Cricetulus griseus: one gene and its partners. The protein of the gene in region 1 binds, or shares a complex with, the protein of each later gene. Links are inferred from orthologs where the notes say so. Each region holds a gene or a part of one and is shown in the gene's direction. Other genes may lie near its edges.

Region 1 (4,464 bases):
ATGCTGTCTGGAAATATTGTTGCAGTTCCAAGTACAGCGTCTGCTCTCTGGTGCTCACAGCATGAGGAGGGGGACTGGCAGGGGTCTGCTAAGGGATTAGCGAGGGGTTAGACGAACTGAACGCGAATCGTCGGCAGGCTCCCGGAGCCGGAAGCCGCGAGTCTCGGTCGCCGTTACTGCCGCGGCACGGTGGGTCGGTGGGTTAGTGCTTATCGGGTCCTCTAGTTTTTAAGACCACTCTAAATGGGTCACGATCCCACGTATCCCACCCAGTCTCCATTCCCCCTTCCTGAGAAGGCAGAAGCCCGTGCTAGGTGGGGGTCTTCCGGTAAGCCCCGCGCCCCCTCCCCTATCTGCGCCGCCGGCGCCGCAGCGGTAACCGCGTAGGGGTCTTTGCTCGATTTTGCCGCAGTGTACCGCCGAGACCCTTATTTCTACTGCGTCACCATCCACATAAACAAGCCGAAGCCTGATGCGTCACGCTAGGCTATTGCTGAGAGCCCCCCCACCGGAAGTGTAATGGGGAAGGGGCATATTGAAGGGGGATTTACCGAAGCTATCCTTGACAAACAGCAAACAAAAACATTTAAAAAAAAATAATAAAATTACCCCGGAGCATTTAAAAAACAAACTGCGTGTTCATATTTGACAACTCATCGCCCTTCATCCCCTCTCCGCCTTTCCGGTGGGCTCACGACCACCTGTCGCATTTTTATGATCGCTCCTCTACCCCTTCCCGGGCATCCTAAAGGCTCATTTCCCCAACTCAGAGCTGAGAACGGGTAATTGCCCGAGGCTGGGGTCCTCGGATAAGGTGTTTGCCGCAGACTGGGGTAATCTGGGGTGACAAAGTCCTCCTGCAGTCCCTCCTCCCCTCGGGAAGAATCTGATGGGGCGGGAGGGTTTCAGCGCCTGTACTCTGTCAGACCAATGCCCACGTCTTACGTCACGTGGCCCAGCAACGCAGGAGAGCGCGCTCTCTCTCTCTGGCCAGGGGAAAAGCGAGGAGCTCAGACTCAGAAGCAGTCTGGGAGAGGAGAGGAAGGAGGCGAACCTCCCTGCGAGGCCTGCGCTCATCAGCCCCCATACCCAAAGTCGGGAACTGCCGGCACCGGGAGCCAGCTCCCGGAGCCGGCTTAGCACTGAGACCGGCGTCCTCTGGCGGCAGAGAAAGAGTTTTACTAACGATTTTCGAGACGAATCGGCACGCTCTTAGATGCCAAGAAGGCGGGGCCAAAGTTAGCAAAGTAAGAAGAGAGTCCAGAAAAGTCGTGGGAGTGGCTGGCCGACCGCAACTTGAAGGCAGAAGTGTGGCTCCGGAGGCTCCGGGTCTTCCCAGCAAGAAATGAGGTACTTCAGCCACGATCTTGAGTTTTAGCCTCTCAGAATCTATCCTTACAAAGATTGGAAACTGAGGCTGGAGAACTTTCCAGCCAATACTCGAATATTTTAAAAGAAAAAATTTTTTGACCCTAGTTTGGCTGGGTGCTCCGTCTTACGGGGCCCCAAATTTATTTTAAAAAACCGCAACCGTGTTATGGGCATGCGCAGCCGCGTCCACGGCAACAATATGCCAGGACAACACGATATCCCCGGTGAAGTCGGGGAGCAGCCCGAGCAAGAACCTTTGGAGGCCCCAGGGGCAGTTGCCCCCGGTGCTGGGCTTGGCCCAGCCGAAGAAATGGAGGCCGAACCGTCTGCCAATGAGCCCATCCCCGCCGAGAACGGCGCTGAGGGCTATGGACCCCAGGGGGTCTCCGGAACCGACTTTCAGGGCGTCCACCAGGCGGTCGAGGAAGTCGGAGTGGGTGGAGACTATAGCCCCCCACCAGAGGAATCCATGCCATTTGAGACGAAACAGCCCAGCCCCGGAGGTTTCTGGCCCACCCTGGAGCAGCCTGGAAGATCTGGGGCCCAAGCAGGTCTCAAAACCTTCAATCCAGCGCTTTTGGAGCCCGGGACCCCCAGTGGTGCGAGCCCCGCCCAGGGAACCTACAGCCCCCCACCAGAAGAAGCTATGCCATTTGAGTTCAACGAGCCTGCCCAGGAAGCCCATAGCCAGTCGCCCTTGCCAGTCCCAGACCTTGCGCCAGGAGGTCCGGAGGCAGAGGTCCTCAGAGCACTTCCCGCGGAGCCCGGGAACATCAGATTTGCAATCGCTAGCTTGCGAGATGACTACAGCCCTCCACCTGAAGAGTCTGTGCCGTTTGGGCCCGATGGAGAAGAATTTGGGGGCGATAGCCCACCCCCGGGCCTCCCCCGAGTCACCCGACAAGTCGGCTTTGGCGGCGAGTTCCCGACAGCCGCGGTCCCGAGTGCGCTCAGTCTCGCTCCCGCCGAGAACGCGCCTCCCCTCTGGGTCCACAGCGCCATTGACAGACCGTTCAGCGAGGCTATCAGAGCTCCCGCTAACTTCGCCTGCGACAGTCCCCCAATGGAGATCTCCAGACCCCCGCTGGAGATTGGCAGAGCCTCCTCTAGGGTCGGCGACGACACAACTGTCAATATGGACGGCCCCCCAATCGCAAGTGTTGGCCCGCCCATCGAAGTCTCCGGAGCACAAGATAAGAGCGAGCGCGGCGCAGAGAGACCCCCAGTTGAGCGAGAAGCAGCCGACATGGAAGGAAGCCCAACCACCGCTGCTGCGGTGGAAGGAAAAGTCCCTTCTCCGGAGAGAAGAGACGGATCCTTCACCCAGCCAGAAGCCATGGATGACAAGCCAGCCTCAGCTGCCCAGACCGTCGCTACCGAACAAGATGCCGCCTCCGCGGCTGCCAGCGGCGGCTCTCCTCCAGCCCCAGCAACACCCGCGGATCTCCAAACCGATCCCGAAGAAGTCGGAGCCACCCCAGCTGTCCGCGCGGAGCCTGACGGAGGAGCAGCCCCGGTCATCGCAGCAGCAGCCACCCCTGCCGAGTCTGAAGGTGGAGGAGATCCAGCCGCCGCGGAGGAGCCAGCCTCCGAGGCAGTCCCTGCCGCCAAGGCCGAGCCTGCCTCCGGGGCAGCCCCCGTCACCCAGGTGGAGCCCGCAGCGGCGGAAGTCTCTGCTAAGGCAGAGCCTGCCGCCCGGGCAGCCCCTGTCACCCCTCCGGAGCCCGCTCCCCGGCCAATCCCCACTGCCAGAGCCCATCCGGCTGCCGGGGCAGTCCCTGGCGCCCCAGCGATGCCAGCCTCCGCTCGGGCAACTGCCGCTAGGGCAGCCTATGCAGGTCCTCTGGTCTGGGGAGCCAGGTCACTCTCGGCTACTCCTGCCGCCCGGGCATGCCTCCCGGCCCGTGCAGCTGCCGCCGCCCGGGCAGCCTCTGCTGCCCGGGCAGTCGCTGCGGGCCACCCAATCTCTGTCGCCCGGTCAATGTCTGCCTCCCGGGCATACCCTCCCGCCCCGAGCAGGGCCCATCTTAGACCCCCCAGCCCCGAGATCCAGGTTGCTGACCCGCCTACTCCGCGGCCTGCTCCGAGGCCGAGCGCCTGGCCAGACAAGTATGAACGTGGCCGAAGCTGCTGCAGGTACGAGGAGGTATCATCCGTCATCTGCGAGATTGACTCCTCCAGCGATGAGTCGGAAGAAGGGGCCAACGGCTGCTTCCAGTACCTTCTGCGACGAAACCGCCGCCCCGGCCAGACCCGGAGCCACACGGTCGGATGCAACCCAATCCGCAACTTCTTCACCAGAACCTTTGGAAGCTGCTTCGGAGCCCCCGAGAGAGCCCGTTCCCTCAGCCCCGGGAAGGCCAAGGATCCTTTTGAAGAGAGGCGCAAACAGATGCGCAAAGAGGCCATTGAGATGCGAGAGCAGAAACGCGCAGATAAGAAACGCAGCAAGGCCATCGACAAGCAACTGGAGGAGGAGAAGATGGATTACATGTGCACACACCGCCTGCTGCTTCTAGGTAATGCGGCATCTTCTGCCCCTGGGCAGTAGGGCCGCCCTGGGCACCCGGGGAGGAGGTGGTAGGGCCTTCCGGTGGGGCTTGGGCCTTGACCACGGGAGGAGGGGGTCTGGAAACCCTGATAGAAGTTCCACGGAGGGACCCCAACTCTGCCCTGGGGGTGGGAGAGGGGATTTTTTGAGGGTTCGGGTGGCCGAAGTATATACCCTCCAGGGAGAAAAGTGGTGCCGAGCGACACTGAGGGTCGTTACCGGCCGGAGGCCAGCGCCAGCGCCAGCGATCGTAGGCTGGACAGGCGGGGGCGTGAGGTGAGCCCAGAACTGCTGGGGAGGGCCCTTCGGGGCTCCCCCGGCTTAATTGTTCGTGACCGCGGTGGGCTAGGGCCATCGGGGTGCGCGCCCCCGCCTCGCCTGGCACGGCTGCTTCGACTCAGACAGCTTGTTGTTGGTGTGTGTTGGTGTCCATTTTCTGTGTTCGCCTGTGCATGACATGCTCAGTGTGTCCCAGTTTCATATCCCTGGCACCTTCAATGTACCCGCCGATTGTGTACTTTCACTCTGAAATGGGTAGTCTT
Region 2 (4,145 bases), about 140 Mb from region 1:
AAGAGATTTGAGCATCCATGAATTTTATATACAACAGAGGTTCTTACTAACTGTAATTCCAGTTCCAGGGTACTAGATGTCCATGTAGTGTACATAAACTTATCCAAATACACACACATATACATAAAAATAAAAACTAATTTTTCTTAATAGAAATATATTACGGTGCGAGTTGCCTTTAAAAGTATTTTGGGAAAGGAAGAGGGCCATTCGTACTGGGTAAGAGAGAAGAGTGGGAGGGAATTTGAACACAAAGTATAATGATACACTATTATAATGATATAATAGAATATTATGAAACCCATTATTTTGTACACTAAAAAGTATACCAATGAAATACAGGTGACACATACACACAAACTATCCTATAGCAGTTGCTGCCGTAGGTCTGCCTCTTTAAATTACTTGTGAAAATAAAGACTCTGCATATCTTTGTGAAAATACTTCCATTCCATTGAGTTCCTGCATATCAAATCTGTCTAGGGAGTTCTAAGTTTTCTTGAATTCCAAGAATGTGAATATATTGTTTTGACTGTTTTGAAATTGTTATTATTTGGGACTTTTTCTTTTTTTTAACCCACAGAAATTTTATATCATTTAGTTGGGTATGGATTGAACATCCTTATCTAAAAGCTTGGGATCAGAACTGTTGCAGAGTCAGGGTTTTCTATTTGGTTGTGGTGCTGTTGTTTTGTTTTGCCTTAGTTTGGTTTGCATAGACTATCAGTTAAACCACCATGATAAGAAAATCTGAAGTGCTCTGAAACATTAAGCTAATGAAAGTCCTGAGTTTGCTTGTAGGTCCTGAACTGTAAGAATAGGAACTCCTACCAGGCCTGTATTGTGGGTATACCAGCAGTTATCATTACAACTCTATTTGAAAGCTCTTCTAACCTAAAAACAGAATTTTTGTTGTATTTGGCTTATGTTATTTATTCAAAGGAGAATTGTTTCTTTGTACCAGTCCTGAGACACTTAGGCAGTTAACAATAAACAAAATTTCATGAGAGTTTAGAAGAAAATACATAACCACTGTATTCAGATGACATTAAATGTTTCTTATTTAGCCAGGTGGTGGTGGCACACACCTTTGATCCCAGCACTCAGGAGGCAGAGGCAGGTGGATCTCTCTGAATTGGAGGCCATTCTGGTCTACAGAACAAGTTCTAAGAGCATCAGAGATACACAGAGAAACCATGTCTAGGAAAACCAAAAACAAACAAAAGGTTTCTCATCCAACCCTTTTAAAAGTCATGTCTTCTTTCTGTCTGTCTGTCTATTTTGTTTTTTGAGACAGGGTTTCTCTATGTATCCCTGGCTGTCCTGGAATTGACTATGTAGACCAGGCTGGCCTCGAACTGACAGAGATTCACCTGCCTCTGCTTCCCAAGTGCTGGGATTAAAGATGAGTGCCACCACAGCCCAGAGGACTTGTCTTCTGAAGTCATCCTGGAGGTTGGTATTTGGGCACAAGGTATAGTGCTGCAATATTGGGGAGAAGCACTCACTGTGCAGAGGTGAGGAGGCTGAGGTAAGGCCAGAAGCCTGAAAGGGCCAAATCTTAGAAAGTGACATTAATGGTTTTGTGTTAACAGGGAAAAAAAGCTGGAATCATTTTATTTCTTGTTTATTTTATACTATTTTGTATTTCCAGTACTGACCATACATACAAGGCAGATGCTCCAGTGTTTAACTGTGTTTCCCAGCACTTGGGAGGCAGAGGCAGGCGTATCTCTGTGAGTTCCAGGCCAGCCTGGTCTCCAGAGCGAGTGCCAGGATAGGCTCCAAAGTTACAGAGAGAAACTCTGTCGAAACCCCCCCCCCCGAAAAAAGAAATGAAATAAAGTAAAGAAACAGTATGTATGATTTCATGTGTCTGACAAGAGGCAGGTTGTCTTGCTTCAAATCCTAGCACCACTGTTTTCTAGCTGTTGTTGGGCAATTTACTATCCCCAGGCATAAATAGAACCTTGCTAGTATGATTGTTAGTGTTGACAGGATTAATAAATGAAAGTATTCAGCACGATTCATAGTCACATTAAGTGTAAGCAGCTGCCCAGTCACTGTTATTAACTTATTTATCATGTTAGTTTTAGAATGTTGTTTTTGTTCCAGTGAAATATGGCAAACGATAATTGTGGCTTATACTGAGAATAGTAGCAAAGGAGTCTCTCTTATTTACTGGGGACATGTTCCAAGCTCTCCAGTGGTTGCTTAAAGCATCAGATAGTGCCAGACTTGTAACTGTTTTATCCTTTCCATACTGTCAATAAAGTATAACTTACAAAGTAGGCATAGTAAGAGGTTAAAAATAATAGATAACAACAAAATAGCTGTGACAGTATGTTGTGATAAGTTATGTGAATGTGGGCTGTCTTAAACTGCAGGATTTTCCATTCAGTGCTTTCAGACTACAGCTGAGCATAGATAATGGACTGTAAAATTGCAACTCAGGAGACTGCTATACTGTATAAGAAAGCTCAGAGCCCAGCATACCATGTGCTGGTGGATGAGTGTGGAAAGGGACCTTGAGAAGTAGAAACCGGAGTCAGTACCTCAAATAATCTTTGAGTGACAGTGGTTTAAATATAGAAAGATGCTGCTGTTTTTTGCTGAGGCCTGTCGTATACTGTTGTTAGTCTTGTGCTTCAGCATGTTTTAGGTCCTTGCTTTCCTCAGCTAAACAGTGTTTAGACTTCACTGAATTGTGATTGTAGGCATCCTCTTGCCCACAATAAGAAAGCCTGTATAAAATAAATCAGAATACAAGTTGGATCACATAGTGCTCTGTTCAGATGTGTATATCTCCTGGGATTATTACAGAGGCCATCATTGGTTTACTTTTACTCTTCTGGGGATATGGGGCTTTATTCAGGCAGAATTATACCATTCCCATGGCACCCAATTCCTAGTTATCTGAAAAAAAAAATGCTATATGATTTCAATTTGCGTAGTGTTAGATTGCATTGTAAGATACGATACTTGTACCTGAATATCTGCATGCTGTCACGTTTGCTATCACTTGGGTGGGGAGAGATGAAACAGCATCACAGCATCCTTTCATCATATTGGCCAATATCCAATAACTGGTAAAAGAAAATTGAGGCTGAATATTCAAGTCTTCCAGCTATAACTTTTTATGTAGCTGAATTAGAATTCCTCCATTGTCATGTACTGTTAACACACTTCCTTTCTTTGATACCGTTCTTTGTTCTTGGGAAAGTGGTAACAAAAATAGGACTTTCCCCCTCACTCCTCTGGTAGTGGCCTTCAGCCCAACTCCTGACTCCTCCCTCTTTTTCCATCCCCCTCCTTTCAGTCCCTCACCACCCACCCACCCCTGTAGTTACTGCCCATTTTTCTTACTGGCAGTCTGGATTCTACTCATTTGCCTAAGAGGGGGATTCTAGACAGACAAGAGACAGCTTTCAGATGCTGCACTGCTGGCAACCCACGTCAGTGCCCACAGTGCAGTGTAAAAACTCAGAGCTTCTCTCTGGCGATGAATTCAAATGCCCAAGATTCTAGAATGTGTGTGAGCACAAGTGTTTTTCTTCCCTTCCCCCTTTCTTCCTTTTCCCAAGCCCCTTCCTCCTGCTTCCCCTCCTACTCCTTTATCCCCTCCCTCTGTGCTGTGCCTTAGTTCTGTTGTACAGGGGCTGAAGTACAGTGCTGCATTGCAAGGCTTTCTGTTAAGGATTTATTGTGGCTTTTGTTTGGATTTCAGCATGCAGAATTACAGGTAATTGGGCTAAGCATTTAAATTCTATGCATTCTAAGCATTTAAATTAAAGACGTTTTCAGAAGTAAATAGTGCATTGGATGTAATGGAGAAAATTAATCTTGGTTAATTTTGATCAATGATAATTGTGGCCAAATATTTTCAGGATTGCCATAAGAAGGTTTTCTCTCCCACAACAGGTTAAATAAAAGAGAATGGATCTGTAATTGCTTTCCTTTTATGTTAATCTTGGAGTTGCAGTCAGTGTAGCTGCTCCTCTGGAGTAACTGTCCTTTATGGAGGCTGCTGCTGAGACTGAAGGGGTGGAGGGTGGCAGTGAGAGCTAGCTAGGGTCTTTGACTAGAGGACATGGAATGCAGAATGTAAAATGCTCTCTCCTTTTCTTCTATCAGCTGTTCAGAGG
Region 3 (2,949 bases), on another chromosome or scaffold:
TCTTCACGGATGTGGTAATGGAAATAATAAATTAATAGTGTCACTTTGGTAATTAGATGAATTGGGTTTGGGCCAGTGCCTGCAGGAAGCTTTTGCAAGATCGCCCTAAATGATTTCCACTCGCAAACGGCTCCAGGAGTACTTAATAAGTAAACCGGGAGATGATATTGGCGATCCAAGTAGCAGCGACTTTCACCCAGTTAAGCGAATGCCCCCAGGGAAACAATAACATCGAGTTTGCAGAGTGGCCAGCTGCAGCTTGTTACTGTAAGGTTCCCCTGCCCCAACCTGCTTCTGCATCCCTCCTGCACATCCAGAAAACCCAGTCGCTGTTTGCAATTCTTTTGGTCCTGAACCTGGCGTTTAGGGAAAAGCATGACAGAAGCCGAGACCCCCAGTGGCTAGGACTCATCCGGGAAGTCACGGGAACCAAGTAGGACGCCAGGTTCTCCTCCAGGACTGGGTGCAGAGCGGGTCTCGGCATGACTGCTGCAAGCGGGTGTCCATCGTGGCGGTCCCGCCCCGCGCGCAGCTGCGACCTGTGGGGGCGCGCGCGGCCTCATGGGGTTCCCGCGGGCGCGCGCCGGGCAGGGAGCGTGCAGGGCGGAGAGCCGGGCGCGAGCGCCGCCGCTCACCTGCCGCGGGCGCCACCGCGGACGTGCCACGCGGGTGGCCCGCGCTCTTCGGCAGCACCGGAGGAACCCCCCTCGGTCTGGGCGTGCCAAGGTGACCCCCGATGACCCCCCTGCCCCGCAGGCTGCGCGTCCCCACAGCTAGGGGAGCGGCCAAATGCATGCACATCTTTCTGTCTGTCTGTCTGGGCACCTCGGTGGTACACACCTACCTTTTGTGGCCCTTGCTCTTTGATCCGTGCACACGGGATGAGGCTGGGACAACCCCCCCTCCCCCCGCCTCTTTGTTTGGGTCCGGAGGTGTGTTTGGGGGTGTGCACGCGCGTGGGGGATTTTTTGGGGCGTGGGAGTTCTGGGCCCTTAAAATATTCCACCCTTCTGCAGACTTGTAGCTGCTGGGCGGTGCTCTCGGCTGTCCAGATGTCAAACAGTTGTTGCTTTTTGGCATGCAAGATGCAATTAGCCAAAGTCGGTTCCCAGCTCTTTGGCGAGCGCGCTTGTGCCGCCTCGGGAGTCCTGTCCTGTGTTTCCCTCGGTGACAAACGGCATTTCAGTTGTGGGGTTTAATCTATGCAGACTTCAGCTTTTGTTTCTAATTCCTGAAGCTCGCGGCATTTTTTGACACTGGTGTCTGAGTCCAGGGCTGTCTGTCTGTCTCTGTGTGTTTTGCATGATCTTGGATTGACACCCTACTGTACCCAAACATTAAAAAGCCTATCTTTCCGTTGAAGAGGACAGGGGTTAAAATGAACGAAGACCTGAAGGTCAATTTAAGCGGACTGCCTCGGGATTGTATAGATGCCAGTGCTCCGGAAAACATCTCAGCCGCTGCCCCCTCCCAGGACCCTGTGGCAGAGTCAGAACCTGAGCTTGTTGTCAACCCCTGGGACATTGTCTTGTGCAGCTCAGGAACCCTCATCTGCTGTGAAAATGCCATTGTGGTCCTTATCATCTTCCACAGCCCCAGCCTTCGAGCACCCATGTTCTTGCTGATAGGCAGCCTGGCTCTTGCAGACTTGCTGGCTGGCCTGGGACTCATCATCAATTTTGTTTTTGCATACCTGCTGCAGTCAGAAGCCACCAAGCTGGTCACAATTGGACTCATTGTCGCCTCTTTCTCTGCCTCTGTCTGCAGTTTGCTGGCCATCACTGTGGACCGCTATCTCTCACTGTATTATGCCCTGACATACCACTCTGAGAGGACCGTCACGTTTACCTATGCCATGCTGGTTATACTCTGGGGAACGTCCATCTGCTTGGGGCTGCTGCCTGTCATGGGCTGGAACTGCTTGAGGGATGAGTCCACCTGCAGCGTGGTTAGACCTCTCACTAAGAACAATGCTGCCATCCTGTCCATCTCCTTCCTCTTCATGTTTGCACTGATGCTTCAGCTCTACATCCAGATCTGTAAGATTGTGATGAGGCATGCCCATCAGATAGCCCTGCAGCACCACTTCCTGGCCACGTCGCACTATGTGACTACCCGGAAAGGGGTCTCAACCCTGGCTCTCATCCTGGGGACCTTTGCTGCGTGCTGGATGCCTTTCACGCTCTATTCCTTAATCGCCGATTACACCTACCCCTCCATCTATACCTACGCCACCCTCCTGCCCGCCACCTACAATTCCATCATCAACCCTGTCATATATGCTTTCAGAAACCAAGAGATCCAGAAAGCCCTCTGCCTCATTTGTTGTGGGTGTATCCCTTCCACGCTGTCCCAGAGAGCACGATCTCCCAGCGATGTGTAGCAACCTTCCTCCACCTGCAGGACACTGCCTCCACCAAGCACCCTGCTGCCCAGGATGGCCAGTACTTTCCTCCCCTTCGGTCCTTTGCGATGGATTCTCACAAACAGAAGCAATGACATCAGTCAGATAAGCAACGACAGTAGAAACCATGTCACCAGTGTTAAAAACAAAAAAGAAAAACAAAACGACTTCTCTGTTCGGCGTTATGTTGTTTGCTTCAGAAGTTAGGTTTACTATTATTTTAAAAATATTTTATTTAATAGGTTTATTTTTCTTTGTTTGGAGGTTGTAGTGGGACCCCATGTGGTCATGAAATGATGCACCAGTCCTAGGATTTTTAACCTAGACCTGAAAATAAATTGAGGTTTTTTTTTAAGGAAACTGGAGAAGGGATTACCTTTTCTGGACTTTTTTTTTTTTTTCTAGTAAAGGTGGATCTTCCATTTTGTATGTATCTAACAGGATGTGAGCTTTTTCATATGACCAAAACAGTTTACATAATTATGTTTGGAAAGACTTGTTTTCAGTAACACGAACTCAGTAATAAGTTACCAACAACCAAACCA
Region 4 (4,489 bases), on another chromosome or scaffold:
AGTCCCTAGTAGGCACTAATGTCACTAGTTTAGAAGTGAAAAAACATGGGCTCAGAGAGCCTGAGAGACTCACTTCTCAGTCACACAGCTAGGAAATGGAGGGATTAGGGTTCGAAGCTGGTCTGTCTATTCCTACCAGCTGAACTCACCACATTTGACCCAAAATGTGCCTTTCTCTTCAGCCCTGGTTCTGTAAGGGTGTGATGTTATTGCCTGCCTCTTGGCCTTCCTTTCCTCAGCCTCATACCCTAATCTGACTCCTATCACCCTCTTCCAGTCTTGAGTGTTCCAGAGAGGATCAAAGAGAGAGGGGGCAGGACTGGTACTGGGGTCACAAGAGTCACTGATGGGGCGTTTCCCTAGGCATGGGGCAGGCATAGTTGGGGAAGAAGTTTTCCCCCTGCCCCACCCCTGGGGTACCTAGGCTGGGAGCTCTGTGAGGCTGCTCTGAGCATGGAGCTGCCCTGTCCTTCTGTTTCCAAGTTCTTCCCGGCTCCCTATCTCCCGCTGCTTCGGGGAAGTGACCCCCCCCCACCTCCTCAACCTCCCTGCGCTGGCTTTCCAGATCCTTGAATAAATAATTCAGGTTTTGAAATCTAGCCAGGCACACCCTCCCGTGCTGCGAGGACGCTATTGGACCCACATAAGTGACGTCACCCAGCTCCTTATCCCAACCCCAGCATCACGGGACCTGTCCTGGCAGCAACTTACCTGCTGGGTCACTGTCCAGTCAGACCTCCCACCCTGTTCCCTCACTCTGGGGCCCACCACAAGTCATTTGATCTGCATCCCGGGACCCCACAGTCCTCACTTAGCTTTGTCGCCTTCATCCTTTATCACTTGACAGGGTCACAGTGACCTCAAGTTCCTTCACCAGAATACTCATCTCCAAAGCCTTGTCACCACCTCTGAGACCCTGGGGTCCCCGAGCTTCATCATGCTGCAGTCACTCTGACAGGGCTCTAGCTGCCCTAGGAGCCCTACCCCTTCCCCCACCGTCAACGTCCCACAGCCACCGTCCTCCAAGATCCTGCCACCACGCTCCCATCGTCACAGCCACCCACCTCCCTACTCCCTCGTGCTCCTGTCACTGTCACCCCAGGGCCCTATCAGAAGCAGAGCCTGTCATCCTCACCGGGGACGCCCATTCAGCCCCATCACCTGTCTTGTGTCAGCTCATTTCTGACACCCGAGGGTGCTCGTCACCCCCGCGGACTATCCCGGTCCCTTGTCCTCTTCCTACATCCTCTGTGGCCTCCCTGAGTCTTTTCTGAGGCTCTCCCACTAGCGCCCCCAAAGCCCCCGACCCGCAGAGGGCGCCGCGTCAAGGACAGCTCGGGCCGACTCCGGAGGGGGCGGGGCCGCGGCCACGGTCACTTTTTATGAATGGGGGAGCGGGCGGCGCGAGGCCTCATTACTATGCCGCGCATCGCGCGCTGCGCTCCAGCGCGCCGCGCCCATTGGCCCACTGGGCTTCTGACGTCACCAAACCGGTGGCCGGGGGCGGGGCGGGGCGGGGTGACTCACGCCGCGTCTCCCGCGGCCGCGGGGGCTTCTTGGGGTCCGCGCACACCTTGCTCTGCCAGGACCTGAGTGGAGGCTCCCCGCGGCCCGGCCGCGCCCGGTCCTGAGCGGTGAGTAGTGGGCCCTGCCGCGGCCACCCAGGGTCTGGGAGGACACGTAGGGTGCAGGGGCGCTGGGCCGGCGGAAGGCTGCGGGCCGCTGCTCGGGGTCCGGAGGTCGTAGCTGGGAGTCTGGACGAGCAGATTCTGCATCAGCACGCGGCTCCCCAAGCGTCAGGATGCTCGAGCGGTGTGATGGGGTGACCCGGCAAAGGGCGAGCATTCCTGCGGGACCCGAGGCCCTGGAGGGACCAGCAGTTATCTGAGGTTGAAAGAGCAGGAGGCATCTGGGGCGGGCACTTGGGCGTCCGAGCAGCGGGAGGTGTCTTATTTAGGGATTCAGTTATCCGAGGCAGGAGGCGGAGTCAGGCCCAAGACCCAGGTGTCCCAGCAGAAGGAGGGGTCTGACTCAGGAATCCAGGCTTCCACCAGGGGGTGTCTGCTACGGAGACCCAGAGGTTAGGTGGAGAAAGGGGGTCTGTCCGGAGACAGAATTCCGGAAGCGAGTACAGGGGAAATGAGTTCCCAGGTGTTACCCTAGGAATGTCGATTGGGGGCTGGCAAAAAGCTGCACCGGCTTTGCCCGGGGGCGGAGCCTGAGGCTCGCAGTGCTGAGAATCGTGAGGGGTCTGGGAGCTTCAGGAACCGAGTCATCCTCTCTGATGGGAGGGAGCTGACTGCCCTCCTTCTTGACATGTTTCCCTCCCCTAGTCATGAGCCCTTTTAAGGCTCACCTTGAATCCTGTGGTTCCCCACTCACTTATGGTAAGCTTAATCCACTTCTCTGACCACACGTGGCAAAGAGGTCTTTAAGACTAATAGGAAAGGAAAGGAGAGTGAAGAGACACAGGGAAGAGATGGGCAGGAAAAGAGGCCCCTGTTTAGAGGCCTGGAGGTATCAGAGGACAAAACATGGGGCAAGAGCCTCAGGACATGAATTGGGGGACAGGGCATTGGTGCCCTACCTGTTATCCTGAGAGGTATCTCTCCCCCAAGGGCCTCCTGTCAGAATACGGGCCTGCCAGTATCTCATAGGGCCTTTCTTCTACAGGTACCATGTTGTGGGGTACAGGCAGCTCCATGGCCTGGCTCTCAGCTGGCTCAGGCAGCGTCAATGTGAGCGGTGTGGACCCAGGAGAGGAACCCACAGGCCCAGCTACACTGCTGCCCTCTCCCAAGGCCTGGGATGTGGTGTTGTGCATCTCAGGCACCCTGGTGTCCTGCGAGAACGCACTGGTGGTGGCCATCATCGTGGGCACTCCTGCCTTCCGTGCCCCCATGTTCCTGCTGGTGGGTAGCTTGGCCATAGCAGACCTGCTGGCGGGCCTGGGCCTGGTCCTGTACTTTGCGGCTGTCTTCTGCATTGGCTCACAAGAGATGAGCCTGGTGCTGGTTGGTGTGCTAGCAATGGCCTTTACTGCCAGCATTGGCAGCCTGCTGGCCATCACTGTTGACCGCTACCTTTCCCTGTACAACGCCCTCACCTATTACTCAGAGACAACAGTAACGCGGACCTATCTGATGCTGGCCTTGGTGTGGGTGGGGGCCCTGGGTCTGGGGCTGGTTCCTGTGCTGGCCTGGAACTGCCGGGATGGCCTGACCACCTGTGGTGTGGTATATCCCCTCTCCAAGAACCATCTGGTGGTCCTGGCCGTAGCCTTCTTCATGGTGTTTGGCATCATGCTGCAGCTCTATGCCCAGATCTGCCGCATTGTCTGCCGCCATGCCCAGCAGATTGCCCTCCAACGACACCTGCTGCCTGCCTCTCACTACGTGGCCACCCGCAAGGGCATCGCCACATTGGCCGTGGTGCTTGGCGCCTTTGCTGCCTGCTGGTTGCCCTTCACTGTCTACTGCCTCCTGGGAGATGCCAACTCTCCATATCTCTACACCTATCTCACCCTGCTCCCTGCCACCTACAACTCCATGATCAACCCAGTCATCTACGCCTTCCGCAACCAAGACGTGCAGAAGGTGCTGTGGGCCATTTGCTGCTGCTGCTCGACTTCCAAGATCCCGTTCCGGTCCCGGTCCCCTAGTGATGTCTAGTTTCATCCTGGTGGTTGTGTGGCTTTGACTACTACAGAATTTCAGAATGTTAGGCCCACCAGGGCTTAGTTCCAAACCCCCAGCTCCACACCCTTAAGACCCAGCTGGTTCTGGAGTTCTAAGACATTGGGTGTTTTAGGATCTTGTTCAAGATTCTTTCAGGGGCCCAGCCCAGCTGGCTGCATGGTTCTAGAATGTTCCAGATGGTGGTTCCAAGTGGTTTGCAATTCCAGAATGCTGGGAATTTTACAGCACCAGTCCAAGTCCTTGATCTTCCTTCCCTGAAACTTGACCTTGACCATGTCACTTTAGTTTTGAATTTTGAAAGTCCAGAGTACAGAGAGGTTAATCACTTAGTTGCCTACAGAAAAGATTTCTCACTCTATATATGAACATACAAAGAAAGTATATTTATTTATTTATTATGTATTTATTTATAAATTTACTTAAGGGTGATAAGGGAAAAAAAAAGAGACCCACACTTTGAAATCTAGTCTGTACCAGGGTGTCTGTCCCCAGCCCCCTTGTCCCCATTTCTGACCTCAGTTCCCGGAGTGGGGATGGAGAAAGAAAAACAATGTATTTTGTTATTTTTGCTTATTTTTTATCAGAGAGATCATAGAAACCAGAGCCTCCTCCCCAGGCCCGCATTGCTCGGGTTTGCAGGAGGAACACACCAGCCTCTGGTTTTTTTATTTTTTTAAGAAGCCATCACCTGAATAACCGAGAATTCCTCTGCGCTGAGGCCCGGCTTCCCTCTGGTGGCCATTTGGGGGAATTGCAACCGGCGAGGTAGTCGGGACTGTAAAATGCACCCC
Region 5 (3,716 bases), on another chromosome or scaffold:
ATCTGTTCTTTCAGGAAGGGACCATGGGGAAGTCTTGAAGTGTTCTCTGGTTCTGTCCATCTGTGTCATCTTTCAATGCTTTGTTGTGAACACAGTCACCACAGCAACCTGAAGGAAGGACTGAAAGCAAATTGGGCACACAACACACAGCCACCGCTGTGGTGGCTGTAGGAGGAGGTGACTACCCAGAGGACCTTGAGAGACCCAGAAGCCAGGATCAGCCCTCCTGCACACAATCAATGGGCTACCACTCTGCCTCACCAATTTTTCAGCTTGCTTGACTTGGGGCTCCTCAAGCATTTTCAAATTGTTGATTTTCATACTCCGAGAAGGCTGGAGATGTGGCAGAGCTGTTGAAATTTACACAGAAATGAGTGGAAGCAAGTGGAGTGCTGGTGAAGGAGAGATGAAGGCTATGGAACTTAGGAAATGTAGCCTTGCTGGGGAAAGTGGGAATCTAAGAGCTAGCCAGTTTTACGGTCCAGGCCCACTTCCTTTGTGTCTCCGCTTCGTGAGACAGCAAGTGTGGCCAGCTGCCTCTCCTGCTGCCATGTCTGCCTGCCATGATGGATGTTAGCCCTTCAAAATGCAAACCAAAACAAACACTACCTCCAATAAGTTGCTCCATGTCAGATATTTGCTTGCAAAAAACAAGAAAATTTATAAACATGGGGAAAGTCTGCTAGAAGAATATAAATCAAATTGAGTAGTTCTCTCTGGATCATCACCCATTCATTCTGTGTAGGTGGCGTTCCTCCCTGCCTGATGGCCAAGGCTGAGCAAGGTAGCTACAAACTAATGGCCTGCTGTTTCTACAACTGACTCTTCTGTCTGCCTCACAGGTACCACATCTGTGTGACCATCCTGATCTACTTCCTGCCCCTGCTGGTGATTGGCTATGCATACACTGTGGTAGGGATCACACTGTGGGCCAGCGAGATCCCTGGGGATTCCTCCAACCGTTACCACGAGCAAGTCTCTGCCAAGCGCAAGGTGAGCAAAGGTCAAGCAGGCATAGTCCACCCTGTCACTGACAGTGGCGGGGGAGCAGGGAGTCCCCAGAGGCAGAAACCATAAGGCATCTCTGGACCTCAGGAACAGGAGAGGAAAGCAGGGTCTTTCTTCATACCCACAAGTACATGTACACATTCATACACATGTGCAAACTTTCATATGTACACATAATCACACATATACAAAATACTCATCCACACACATGCATTCATACACATACACGCCAGCAGTCATATACATGTATACATCCACATACAGACACTCATATACATAAACAGTCATACCCATGCTTGTACATATAAAAAAACCTACTTTACACATATACATATAATACACACACATACCCACATGTACACACATATATATATATAAGGACTCATAGCACATAGACACAAATACTCATATAAATGTACATACACACTCATATACAAATACACACAAACCTATGTACACATACAGGTGTAGATGCTCACATACATATACATACACTCACAAACTTTATACACATATACCCATATGTGCATACATCAATAAATACACCCAACACAAAAATTCACACACATATACAGATACATGTACTCAAATACACTCATACACACACATACTTACACACAATACACATATACCCATATATATACTCAAGCACATTCACATAATCCTTCATGTGCAGACATTCATAAACACATTAACATACATACACACATATGCACATATTCATATACACATACACAAGCACATGTGCTAATATACATATATGCAAAAGTTCACACACTCATATGTGTATCGATGCATACCCTTATACACACACAACTCATATACACACACACATACACATACAGCTACATACAACTCAGACAAATGCATACAAGTAATACACATACACACATGCATACACAAAGAAAGCACTTATACCTGGAAATTTATAAACAAGAGAAATTGGTCTTCACAGCTTTAGGGTCCAGGAGACCTGGACCAATGCAGAGTCCCTGTCTGGTGAAGGTACTTCCTGCTCATGACAGTTGCCTTTGCACTGGGTGCTCTCACAGTAGAAGGGCAAGAGAGCTCCCAGACCTCTTCATAAGGCTTTAATCCTGTCTATAAATCTTTGCTATCAGTGTCTAATTGCTTCCCAAAGGCCTGGGTCCTAATATTGTCACACATCACATCCCACTGGCAACTCCAACTCAGCGTGCGATGTCTCCAGACCAAGCACCTTCCGCAGCTCCCTCCCCTGGCCCAGTGCTCTGCTGCCTTCCCTGGAGCTTTTCTCCTGAGTCCCCATCCACTTCTGCTCACTGCCTCTCCCTTGGCTTCTCTACACATTGCCCAGCAAGGTCACATAACAGCACATCGGAGTCCTCTGAAGGTTTCCTGGTCCACTCTCAGGTTATAATTCTAGATAGCTAGGACAGACAAGTCCAATAACCTGCGATTCCTAACAAGTCCCTCGTGGTAGCGATGATGGTAGTCCTGGGTCACAGGCAGAGAACTGTAACCAGGATCCTTAAGCCCGAGTGTTAAAGGTCTCCCAGCCGCCTTAGAAGACAACATTGTAAACACCTCCCTTCCCACCCACGCTGCACAGTGATGGGGAGGGGACAGAAGCCATCCCACAGAAGGACATGCTCATGGGCCTGCCTGCCTTGCCCTCTCCCCAGGTGGTGAAAATGATGATCGTGGTCGTGTGTACCTTTGCCATCTGCTGGCTGCCCTTCCATATCTTCTTCCTCCTGCCTTACATCAACCCAGATCTCTACGTCAAGAAGTTCATCCAGCAGGTCTACCTGGCCATCATGTGGTTGGCCATGAGTTCCACCATGTACAACCCCATCATCTACTGCTGCCTCAATGACAGGTGAGGACACCATGCTCACACATCCAAACTACAAGCCACCATCAAAAGGGAGTGGTGGGTGATATGGAACAGACTCGAACACTGGATATGGTTATTTAATGGTATTTATTAAGAGGGGATACTCACACGAGAAGCCGATAACCAGATTGGCACTCCAAGAAGCCCAGTCTCAGATGCCTCTAAGATCTGACCTGAACCGAGAGAGAGAGAGAGAGAGAGAGAGAGAGAGAGAGAGAGAGAGAGAGAGAAAGAGAGAGAGAGAGAGAGCCGAGCCTCCTCTCTCTTTATCCTACCTCTCTGAATACCTGTGACCATGCCAAAACAGGCGTGGTCAATGCTACAGGTATCCAGGGTCTCTCCCTACAGGTGGGTCTGCAGCAAGCTAACCACACTCCAAGAAATGCTCACTGGGGCTCTGCAACAGTGTGAGCAGTGTGAGCACAGAGTGGGTTGGTTTTCTTGATCAAAGGAAACAAATTACTTTTATTTCATGTGTAATGTGTTTTTTTTCTTGTGTGTGTGAAAATTTGTATGTGTGAGTGGGCATCTGTGTGTGCGACTGGAAGCCAGAGGAAGATGGCAGGTGTCCTGCTCTGTCATCCCCCACCTTATTCCCTTGAGACAGAGTCTCTTACTGAAACTAAACCTAAGCTGACAGCCAGTAAGTGTCTCTCTCTCTCTCTCTCTCTCTCTCTCTCTCTCTCTCTCTCTCTCTCTCTCTCTCTCTCTCTCCCTCTCTCTCTCTCTCTCTGCAGCTGGGAAGGGCCCCCTTGTAACTGAGACACAAGCATTAGAAGTATGTGTGTTCTCTATGCACCTCACAGTTTCATCTTCTAAGAGCCTGATG
Region 6 (3,146 bases), on another chromosome or scaffold:
TGTATGGACACCAGAAAAAATAGCTGGAAAATTGTCATTAGCATAGTCCAGCAGATGATGGCTTGGACAAGAATGGCTACCAGTGGAAATAAAAAGTTGTCTAAGTCTATATGTATTTTCCATGGAGATCTAAGATAATTTTTTATCAGGTAGCTGTTTGCAACTTTAGATACTTGAACCAGTAGAAATGAAAAAGTGGTCTAAGATGTAGACATATTTTCCATGGAGAGCCAAGATAAATTTTATCAGGTAAGTATGTTTGGTCTAAGAAAACAAGAATTGCATCAAGATTTTGGATTGACTATTATCATTATTATTATTATTACTATTATTATTATTATTATTATTATTATTATTATTTGTGTGTGTACGATGGCAAGTATGTACAGTTAAGAAGATATCTTTGGGAGTCTTTCTCTCCTTTTACCACATGGCTCCTGGAATCAAACTCCAATCATCAGGCTAGCATGACAAGCACCTTTATCCATTTATCTGTGTACTCTTGAGGTGGACCTCTTATTTTGAAGATGTATAGGGTAGAGAATGAGAAAGATTTAGGCAAATTATGTAAAAAGGACAGAGAGCTTGACCTAGACATGCTAAGAGATGACATCTTCTAGCAGGCAGGAAATACTAAGCTAGAGTTGTGAGGGAAGATCAGGGTGCATGCACTAAGATTTGTTGGCTTGTAGATTAGTTTAAGACCCCAAGACCATCAGAAACTGGAGAGAAGTTGTAGAAGGGAACAGGGGTATGTGAGAGGAGAAGGACAAGTAACAGTGACAGAAAGGAGCAAAACTTGTAAGGGATGGTGACTCAGGAGCCATAAAAAATGATTATTGGAAGAGGTGACTAGGATACCAAAGACTTACCCTTGAGTTCGGCAATCTAGTAGTAAGTTGACTAAGAATGACATTGATAGAGTATAGATGGAAAATGTCTCATGGGGTGTACTCACAGGCTATTTTAAATCCCTGACAATTTAAATGTGACCTGTACAGTGTAAGTCTTCAAACTCTGTCTTTCTTCAGACAAGGACTGTTTCCACTGATTGACCCAAAATAATCATCATCTGGTTTTCTTGGGCTTTTAGACATGGAGGTTTTATGTGCCGATTTTATTTCATTTCAAGTTTTATATTTTAGCACAATGTCCATCTCCAACTGGATATTAAACATGTTTTGAATTGACTTATTAAACTAACATTGGAAATAAAACTTTCCAAGCAGATATTCTTCAGCAAGAGTGTGGAAATACGGTATAAAAGGATTAAGTTAGTTGCTGATCACTTAATCATTTCTCTTCTTCTTTTTGCTCCTCCCAGGTTTCCAGGACAAGTATGTACCCATAAGAAATGAAAGGAGATGGAACTCTAACCTGCCTATGGATTCTGGAGGAAGATTGCTCAACAGCCTAAGAGAAAAACCAGCCACTGTGTAGTTCTCTGTAGTGATGCGTCGTTGCCACGATATTAACATTTCCCACATGAACAGCAACTGGTCAAGGGACGTTAGTGCTTCCCTCTATAGCTTAATGTCACTTATAATTCTGGCCACTCTGGTTGGTAATTTAATAGTAATAATTTCTATATCCCATTTCAAGCAACTTCATACACCCACAAATTGGCTCCTTCACTCCATGGCCACTGTGGACTTTCTGCTGGGTTGCCTGGTGATGCCTTACAGCATGGTGAGGACAGTTGAGCACTGTTGGTATTTCGGAGAAATTTTCTGTAAAGTTCATACCAGCACTGATATTATGCTGAGCTCGGCATCCATTTTCCACTTATCCTTCATTTCCATTGACCGCTACTATGCTGTGTTTGACCCATTGAGATACAAAGCCAAGATGAGTATCTTGACTATTTTGGTGATGATCCTCATTAGCTGGAGTGTTCCAGCTATTTTTGCATTTGGAATGATCTTCCTGGAGCTGAACATCAGAGGAGTTGAAGAGCTGTATCACAAACAGGCTGGCTGCCTGGGTGGCTGTTCTACCTTCTTTAGCAAAGTGTCTGGGGTATTGGTCTTCATGACTGTTTTCTATATACCTGGATCTGTCATGTTGTTTGTTTACTATAGAATATATTTCATAGCTAAAGGACAAGCCAGGTCAATTCATGGCACAAGTCTTCAAATTGGATTGGAAGAGAAACACGGAATGCCACAAAGCAAAGAAACAAAAGCTGCGAAGACCTTAGGCATTGTGATGGGTGTTTTCCTCATATGTTGGTCCCCTTTCTTTTTCTGCATGGTCCTGGACCCTTTCCTGGGCTATGCTATCCCGCTCACTTTGATTGATGCACTGAGTTGGTTTGGGTACCTGAATTCTGCCTTCAACCCAGTGGTTTATGCCTTTTTCTATCCCTGGTTCAGAAGAGCATTGAAGATGATTGTCTTTGGCAAGATTTTCCAAAGAGATTCATCTAGGTCTAAGTTATTTTTCTAATGCAACACATGTAACCATTATATATTTTATTGTTTTGTAAAAGAGTTGGTGATTATATTTATGAAAATAGTGAACCAATCATAGGCAATAAGTACATTGGCTTTTAAGGTCAGTTATTTGAGTTAAGATATACGTGATGAGTTTAACCTGGTATTTGGCACAGAACAGATGTAGTAATTTGACATTATTGTTATGTAGGTTTAACTATGGTAAGTGCAGTATTAAAGACTTACATGTGAAAGAATTGTCCCTGCCATTAGAGGACCTTCTGTGAGTTGACAACAGTAATTTATTCATTCTGCAATTTAATCACAAGGCTGAATTTAGTGTAGAAATTAGAAGGAATTTGCCATACATACAACATACGTAGGAAAACAGGGGAAGGGATAGTGGTTTCTAATAAGATACCTTAATAGGAAGTCAGAAAATATTATAAATTATATACATTGATTTGCAATTAAGGTATTTCTCAAATAGATTTTACAGAATTAGTTTCAAGTTTCAATCACTGAAGATTTGGATTTACTTAATAACAGTTACATCTTCATAATCAAATTAAAGAAAGGCAGCCAATTAAAAATAACTAAGATGTACATTCCACTGTCTGTTCATAAATCTGAAGATCTCCTAGGATGTATTAAAGCCTCCCATCTCCAGACGTAGTGGCGCACATCTGTAATCTCAGTACTGTACGGCAA
Region 7 (4,186 bases), on another chromosome or scaffold:
GGAGTGGATTGGGGGTGGGAGCAGAGGGGGGATGGTGGGGAGGGACTAGGAGGAGAGTGGAGAGAGGAAACCGCAGCCAGGATATAAAAATAAATACATAAATAAATTTATTTTTTAAAAAAAATAAAGCAAGAAAGAAACACAGATCCTAATATTGCCTGTTTCTTAGATGTTCAAACTAAGACCAGTGCAGTGAACAGTGAGGGGCTTTTAAGTATTGTCCAACTTCCTGAAAAAGCCAAGCCCCTAAACAGGCCTCTCACACACTAGCCATCTCCCAACATACCCTTCACTTATTCCTTCTTCTGTCCTTCAAATAGGCCAAGCCCCTTCCTGCCTCAGGCCCTTTGCACTGGTTGTGGCCTCTGCAGAAAGTATTCTGTCCCCTGTTTGGAGGCTTTCGCATTTACATCTCAGGCTTTGCACCACTAGTAACCCCCACCCCCACCAGGGAGGCCTAAATCCCTTCCCACTTTTCCCCTCTCCAACTTAACAGCATCTGAGGTGCTCTTCTTTCCTGATGGGCTTGAGAAGTACTCAGCAAATGGTTGACTCTCAGTGAACAGGTCTGGGGTGGAGAGACAAAGCAAAACAATAAAAAATAAACAAGTGAATGAGAATTCTTGCTGATTTCTATAGTAATAAGGATCTAGGAGAGCAGAAAAGGTAGGGTATTAGGTGGGGTGGGGGAGGGAGGATGGGAGGGAGAAGGACCTGGGATTAACATGTAAAATAATCTTCTTTCTAATTAAAAAAATACAAAATAAATAAATAAAATAAAATAAAGGACCTAGGAATCTGCATTCAGAAGAGTCCCCTGCTTCTGGTTAACAAGGGCAGAGACCACAAGACCGAGCACTGTGCTTGGTAACACCTTAACAACCACCCAGAAGTTCTCTCCATACACATTACTGGGCAAGGCTCCAAAGCTAAAAGGCACTAATTGCTTTTATATAAGGAGATAGGAATGCAGTCTCTCTGTGTCCCTTAGTCCCAATGGTCTGCATTATCGGATCTGTTACCATGTTAATTGATGCTGTCTCACACAGACATTTCAGGCTTCACTCTGAATATGTCTGGGACACTGACAGGCAGAGAAGAGAGGTGGTAATTGGGAAGTCTCTCTCTTTCTCTCTCTCCACCCGTGTGTGTGTGTGTGTGTGTGTGTGTGTGTGTGTGTGTGTGTGTGTGTAGATGTGGCCCCACTCTGGGAAGGGTTAATATGCAGCCAAGCTGCCTGTGCTCAGGGCCTCAGACCGGCCCAGGAATGGGAGGGGTGGGCCTGGAAGGTGGAGCAGGCTTGACTTGCACAGGCTGCTTCTCCCCACAGGAGTGCAAGTGCTTGCCCAGCTGGTCTGAGAATGGTGAACTCAAGTTGCCTTTAGGAATGGCTGCAAAGCCCACACCTGGAAATACCCCCTCCCTGCCCCTCCACGGCAGGTTGCATTTAGGAGACTCTCCGGTCATTAGAGGAACGAGTCAGGAGTGAGCCATTCACCAGCTCGCCAGCACTTGGTAGAGAGCAGCAGGATGGACGTGGTCGACAGCCTTCTCATGAATGGGAGCAACATTACTCCCCCCTGTGAACTCGGCCTGGAAAATGAGACTCTTTTCTGCCTGGATCGACCTCAGCCTTCAAAAGGTAGGTGTTAGAGGCTGTGACTGGAGTTCAGAAAACCACCCAGTTAAGGGAGATGATAGCAACAGCAAGGTTGACTAAAATGTATGTACAGTGTGTGTGTGTGTGTGTGTGTGTGTGTGTGTGTGTGTGTGTGTGTGTGTGTGTGTACAAAATCCCTGTGAGACAAAGCTAAATGAAGTTGTATGTTCAGAAGTTTGGATAAACGAGTAAGAGAAATCTACAGTCAAATATTCTTATTGTTCCCATGGGAGAGTTGGGAACTCATGAAGGATTCGGGGGAGATGACAAAAGCATAGAAGAGCTGAGGGCAGAAAGGGGTGCCAAGTGTAGAAGCCGGGACTACACACATTACTGAAAAAGCATTGTCAGGGGTAGAGGTTACCTTTTCTTAGGAGAAACCCAGCATGAAGAAGTGATTAAAGCAAAATAAAATAATGCTTAGCCTCAGGGAAAGGAAGCCGTCACCATTCAGGAGCACTGTCCTTAGGAAAAAACTGCTTTCCCCAGTGATCTGTTGACACACACCAACCTTTAAAAAAGCAATTGGATTGCCCTGTGCTTCCCTGGGCTTGTGTCTGTGTGATGCAGGCAGCACAGGGATACTCGGGTTCAGTGATGCATGCCAGCAGGGGACATCATCAGAAATGACCACTCCTTGGGGGGCTAAGGTTTTCACATTCCACCCTCCTAACCCACCTCCCTGCAACTCTTCCCCATTCCTCTGCAGAGTGGCAGCCTGCAGTGCAGATTCTCCTCTACTCCTTCATATTCCTCCTCAGTGTGCTGGGGAACACGCTGGTCATCACGGTGCTGATTCGAAACAAGAGGATGCGGACTGTCACCAACATCTTCCTGCTATCCTTGGCTGTCAGTGACCTCATGCTCTGTCTCTTCTGCATGCCATTCAACCTCATCCCCAATCTGCTCAAGGATTTCATCTTTGGAAGTGCTATGTGCAAGACCACCACCTACTTCATGGGTGAGTCGCTGCAGGTGGCTGTTGATGGGGCTCTTCTCACTCAGCCCTGTTTAGCCCCCGCTTTTGCCAGCTGCTTGACAGTCACAGCAGAGGGACCCTCCTGGGTTCCCAAATACCAAGCATCTGGCTGGCTGGGCCCATGTAGGACATGGGTGCTCTCTTTACAGCAAGTCAGCCCTTCTACTTGCAAGGGAGTGTGTGTCAGAAGTTGAGACAAAAACACAGTGGGAACTCAGTGGAGTTTCCTCTTTGAATAAGGACAAGAACTCATAGGTGACTTCAAGTCACTCCATACTTTTCTGCTGGCAGATGATTGTATGCCAATTAACCCCCAAGTTGGGACAGGGTTTCTTGGAATGGAGTAGGTGCATAGGATCAGGGCTCTTTGTTGTTGTGTTTCTTGTTCTGTGAGAAATGGAGGCTGTTTTAAACCATTCCATCTCTGTCTAGCTACTCCTTTCAGGATTCACTTCCCAGATTGTTCTCTCAAAGCCTGGGGGCATCTTAGGCCAGGGGTCTGTGGAGTGTGTGTGTGTGTGTGTGTGTGTGTGTGTGTGTGTGTGTGTGTGTGTGTGTGTGTGTTTGTGTAATAAGAAGCTGAATATGTTCCTAAGGAGCATGGATTATGAAGTAGATCCTGATTGGATGAGCCCTATAGCTCGCTGCCAAACATAATGATGGTTGTAGCAAAACCCACAAAGCTACTTTCTTAGTACTTTTTTATGCACCAGGTATTTTGCTGAGCACTTTCACTTCCATGATCTTATTTCTTGTCCACCTGGTAAATAGCTATCATCAATTCTTCCCTATCTTGCCAAGCACGTGCCAGGGGAAGCATGGGGGCTGGGGTTTGAACCTAGATTAGCAGGCACCACAGTGGTGAGTTCATGCCTCAGCTTGCCAGCTACTGAGGTTCTCCTAACCCTGGACAGAAACATGTCCCTGGTCCTCTCTGTCTGTCACACTACCTTGTCCCTTGCCCATTCTGAGAACCAACTGAGAAGAAGAAGAGGGTGAGGAGTGTGTGTGTGTTTGATTCTGACGCAAGCTGTGTTAAACAGAGAGCACTGACGAGGGCTAGGGAAATCTTCGCAGGCCAGAAAGCATTGAAAAGCCTTTCTTTTTCCCAATTGAGTGTTCAAGATCCAACAGATGACACAATGATGATGAATCGATGACTCTCATGCCCCCAGATTAGTAACTAAGGATGTCATTTGTGTTCAAGTCCCCTGAACATATTCTAAAGCCTTAAGAAAAATGGGAAGGATCTTGGTTAGATAATGAAGCATTGTTGAAAGCTTGTTAACTCCTGGGGCCCATCCATGTGCATCTGCTGGGCTTTAACATCTTAGCTAGAGTGGGGAGGAGAATTCACAGAGGTACTCACATAATCACACAGCTCTGAAGGCCGGGAAACTCTTTGCTTCAAGGTGGTCAAGTCTATGCTGTGTGAATTTCACCTCAGAACAACTTTAGTAGCCAAAATTAAACAGCAAACTAATTCTGGGATTATTTGGAATGTCATAATAGCTTACTTGGTTAAATTTACTTCTTCTTGTTATTTG

The links.
Region 2: the proteins of guanine nucleotide-binding protein G(s) subunit alpha isoforms XLas-like (region 1) and Gpr21 are in contact, whole or in part, in a cryo-EM structure (PDB 8HMV), measured with the Homo sapiens proteins. The link is inferred for Cricetulus griseus from reciprocal best matches to the Homo sapiens genes GNAS and GPR21. Residues at the interface, in NP_000507.1 of Homo sapiens: Gln35, Arg38, His41, Val217, Pro321, Asp323, Arg342, Asp343, Leu346, Arg347, Thr350, Tyr358, Cys359, Pro361, Phe376, Cys379, Arg380, Asp381, Ile383, Gln384, Arg385, His387, Leu388, Gln390, Tyr391, Glu392, Leu393, Leu394; in NP_005285.1 of Homo sapiens: His61, His62, Thr64, Arg127, Ala130, Ile131, Thr132, Pro134, Leu135, Thr136, Tyr137, Asn138, Thr142, Pro143, Ile214, Ile217, Cys218, His221, Thr222, Asp224, Ile225, Arg228, Gln229, Arg231, Phe232, Arg249, Tyr250, Val253, Leu254, Asn308.
Region 3: the proteins of guanine nucleotide-binding protein G(s) subunit alpha isoforms XLas-like (region 1) and Gpr12 are in contact, whole or in part, in a cryo-EM structure (PDB 7Y3G), measured with the Homo sapiens proteins. The link is inferred for Cricetulus griseus from reciprocal best matches to the Homo sapiens genes GNAS and GPR12. Residues at the interface, in NP_000507.1 of Homo sapiens: Gln35, Arg38, Ala39, His41, Val217, Asp323, Asp343, Leu346, Arg347, Thr350, Tyr358, Cys359, Pro361, Phe376, Cys379, Arg380, Asp381, Ile383, Gln384, Arg385, His387, Leu388, Gln390, Tyr391, Glu392, Leu393, Leu394; in NP_005279.1 of Homo sapiens: Met79, Arg138, Ser141, Leu142, Tyr143, Ala145, Leu146, Tyr148, His149, Ser150, Glu151, Ile220, Ile223, Val224, Arg226, His227, Ala228, Gln230, Ile231, Gln234, His235, Phe237, Lys248, Gly249, Thr252, Leu253, Ile300, Arg304.
Region 4: the proteins of guanine nucleotide-binding protein G(s) subunit alpha isoforms XLas-like (region 1) and Gpr3 are in contact, whole or in part, in a cryo-EM structure (PDB 9LYB), measured with the Homo sapiens proteins. The link is inferred for Cricetulus griseus from reciprocal best matches to the Homo sapiens genes GNAS and GPR3. Residues at the interface, in NP_000507.1 of Homo sapiens: Gln35, Arg38, Ala39, His41, Val217, Phe219, Asp323, Asp343, Leu346, Thr350, Tyr358, Cys359, Phe376, Cys379, Arg380, Asp381, Ile383, Gln384, Arg385, Met386, His387, Leu388, Gln390, Tyr391, Glu392, Leu393, Leu394; in NP_005272.1 of Homo sapiens: Met75, Arg134, Ser137, Leu138, Tyr139, Ala141, Leu142, Tyr144, Tyr145, Glu147, Ile216, Ile219, Val220, Arg222, His223, Gln226, Ile227, Leu229, Gln230, Arg231, His232, Lys244, Gly245, Thr248, Arg300.
Region 5: the proteins of guanine nucleotide-binding protein G(s) subunit alpha isoforms XLas-like (region 1) and Tacr1 are in contact, whole or in part, in a cryo-EM structure (PDB 7RMH), measured with the Homo sapiens proteins. The link is inferred for Cricetulus griseus from reciprocal best matches to the Homo sapiens genes GNAS and TACR1. Residues at the interface, in NP_000507.1 of Homo sapiens: Arg38, His41, Val217, Phe219, Tyr358, Phe376, Cys379, Arg380, Ile383, Gln384, Arg385, His387, Leu388, Gln390, Tyr391, Glu392, Leu393, Leu394; in NP_001049.1 of Homo sapiens: Met63, Thr67, Asn68, Asp129, Arg130, Ala133, Ile134, Ile135, Pro137, Leu138, Gln139, Pro140, Arg141, Leu223, Gln239, Ala242, Lys243, Val246, Met249, Leu308, Asn309, Phe312.
Region 6: the proteins of guanine nucleotide-binding protein G(s) subunit alpha isoforms XLas-like (region 1) and Taar1 are in contact, whole or in part, in a cryo-EM structure (PDB 8W88), measured with the Homo sapiens proteins. The link is inferred for Cricetulus griseus from reciprocal best matches to the Homo sapiens genes GNAS and TAAR1. Residues at the interface, in NP_000507.1 of Homo sapiens: Gln35, Arg38, Ala39, His41, Asp215, Val217, Phe219, Thr350, Tyr358, Phe376, Cys379, Arg380, Asp381, Ile383, Gln384, Arg385, His387, Leu388, Gln390, Tyr391, Glu392, Leu393; in NP_612200.1 of Homo sapiens: Thr58, Asp120, Arg121, Ala124, Val125, Cys126, Pro128, Leu129, Arg130, Tyr131, Lys132, Ala133, Asn136, Ile213, Ile216, Ala217, Gln220, Leu223, Ile224, Asn228, Lys248, Ala249, Thr252, Phe307, Tyr308, Pro309, Trp310.
Region 7: the proteins of guanine nucleotide-binding protein G(s) subunit alpha isoforms XLas-like (region 1) and Cckar are in contact, whole or in part, in a cryo-EM structure (PDB 7XOV), measured with the Homo sapiens proteins. The link is inferred for Cricetulus griseus from reciprocal best matches to the Homo sapiens genes GNAS and CCKAR. Residues at the interface, in NP_000507.1 of Homo sapiens: Gln31, Gln35, Arg38, Ala39, His41, Asp215, Val217, Phe219, Asp354, Gly355, Tyr358, Phe376, Cys379, Arg380, Ile383, Gln384, Arg385, His387, Leu388, Gln390, Tyr391, Glu392, Leu393, Leu394; in NP_000721.1 of Homo sapiens: Thr76, Glu138, Arg139, Ala142, Ile143, Cys144, Pro146, Leu147, Gln148, Ser149, Arg150, Val151, Gln153, Thr154, Lys155, Glu235, Leu236, Ser301, Ala303, Asn304, Ala307, Lys308, Arg310, Val311, Met314, Phe372, Met373, Asn374, Lys375, Arg376.

The regions. Positions count from the first base shown.
Region 1 is NC_048599.1:4,771,479-4,775,942, reverse strand, and holds guanine nucleotide-binding protein G(s) subunit alpha isoforms XLas-like, read left to right. Parts: upstream 1-1,537; coding exon 1,538-3,890; intron 3,891-4,103; coding exon 4,104-4,378; downstream 4,379-4,464. UniProt on the Homo sapiens protein: Guanine nucleotide-binding proteins (G proteins) function as transducers in numerous signaling pathways controlled by G protein-coupled receptors (GPCRs).
Region 2 is NC_048599.1:148,760,254-148,764,398, forward strand, and holds the start of Gpr21 (probable G-protein coupled receptor 21), read left to right. Parts: upstream 1-1,324; 5' UTR 1,325-4,145. UniProt on the Homo sapiens protein: Orphan receptor.
Region 3 is NC_048597.1:82,425,124-82,428,072, reverse strand, and holds Gpr12 (G-protein coupled receptor 12), read left to right. Parts: upstream 1-1,378; coding exon 1,379-2,383; downstream 2,384-2,949. UniProt on the Homo sapiens protein: Promotes neurite outgrowth and blocks myelin inhibition in neurons. Receptor with constitutive G(s) signaling activity that stimulates cyclic AMP production.
Region 4 is NC_048595.1:20,064,628-20,069,116, forward strand, and holds the start of Gpr3 (G-protein coupled receptor 3), read left to right. Parts: upstream 1-1,504; 5' UTR 1,505-1,634; intron 1,635-2,673; 5' UTR 2,674-2,678; coding exon 2,679-3,671; 3' UTR 3,672-4,489. UniProt on the Homo sapiens protein: Constitutively active G-protein coupled receptor that maintains high 3'-5'-cyclic adenosine monophosphate (cAMP) levels that a plays a role in serveral processes including meiotic arrest in oocytes or neuronal development via activation of numerous intracellular signaling pathways.
Region 5 is NC_048601.1:73,759,179-73,762,894, forward strand, and holds part of Tacr1 (substance-P receptor), read left to right. Parts: intron 1-842; coding exon 843-993; intron 994-2,672; coding exon 2,673-2,869; intron 2,870-3,716. UniProt on the Homo sapiens protein: This is a receptor for the tachykinin neuropeptide substance P. It is probably associated with G proteins that activate a phosphatidylinositol-calcium second messenger system.
Region 6 is NC_048595.1:243,172,636-243,175,781, forward strand, and holds Taar1 (trace amine-associated receptor 1), read left to right. Parts: upstream 1-1,452; coding exon 1,453-2,448; downstream 2,449-3,146. UniProt on the Homo sapiens protein: Intracellular G-protein coupled receptor for trace amines, which recognizes endogenous amine-containing metabolites such as beta-phenylethylamine (beta-PEA), 3-iodothyronamine (T1AM), isoamylamine (IAA), cadaverine (CAD), cyclohexylamine (CHA), p-tyramine (p-TYR), trimethylamine (TMA), octopamine and tryptamine.
Region 7 is NW_023276807.1:121,968,296-121,972,481, reverse strand, and holds the start of Cckar (cholecystokinin receptor type A), read left to right. Parts: upstream 1-1,259; 5' UTR 1,260-1,530; coding exon 1,531-1,642; intron 1,643-2,369; coding exon 2,370-2,621; intron 2,622-4,186. UniProt on the Homo sapiens protein: Receptor for cholecystokinin. Mediates pancreatic growth and enzyme secretion, smooth muscle contraction of the gall bladder and stomach. Has a 1000-fold higher affinity for CCK rather than for gastrin.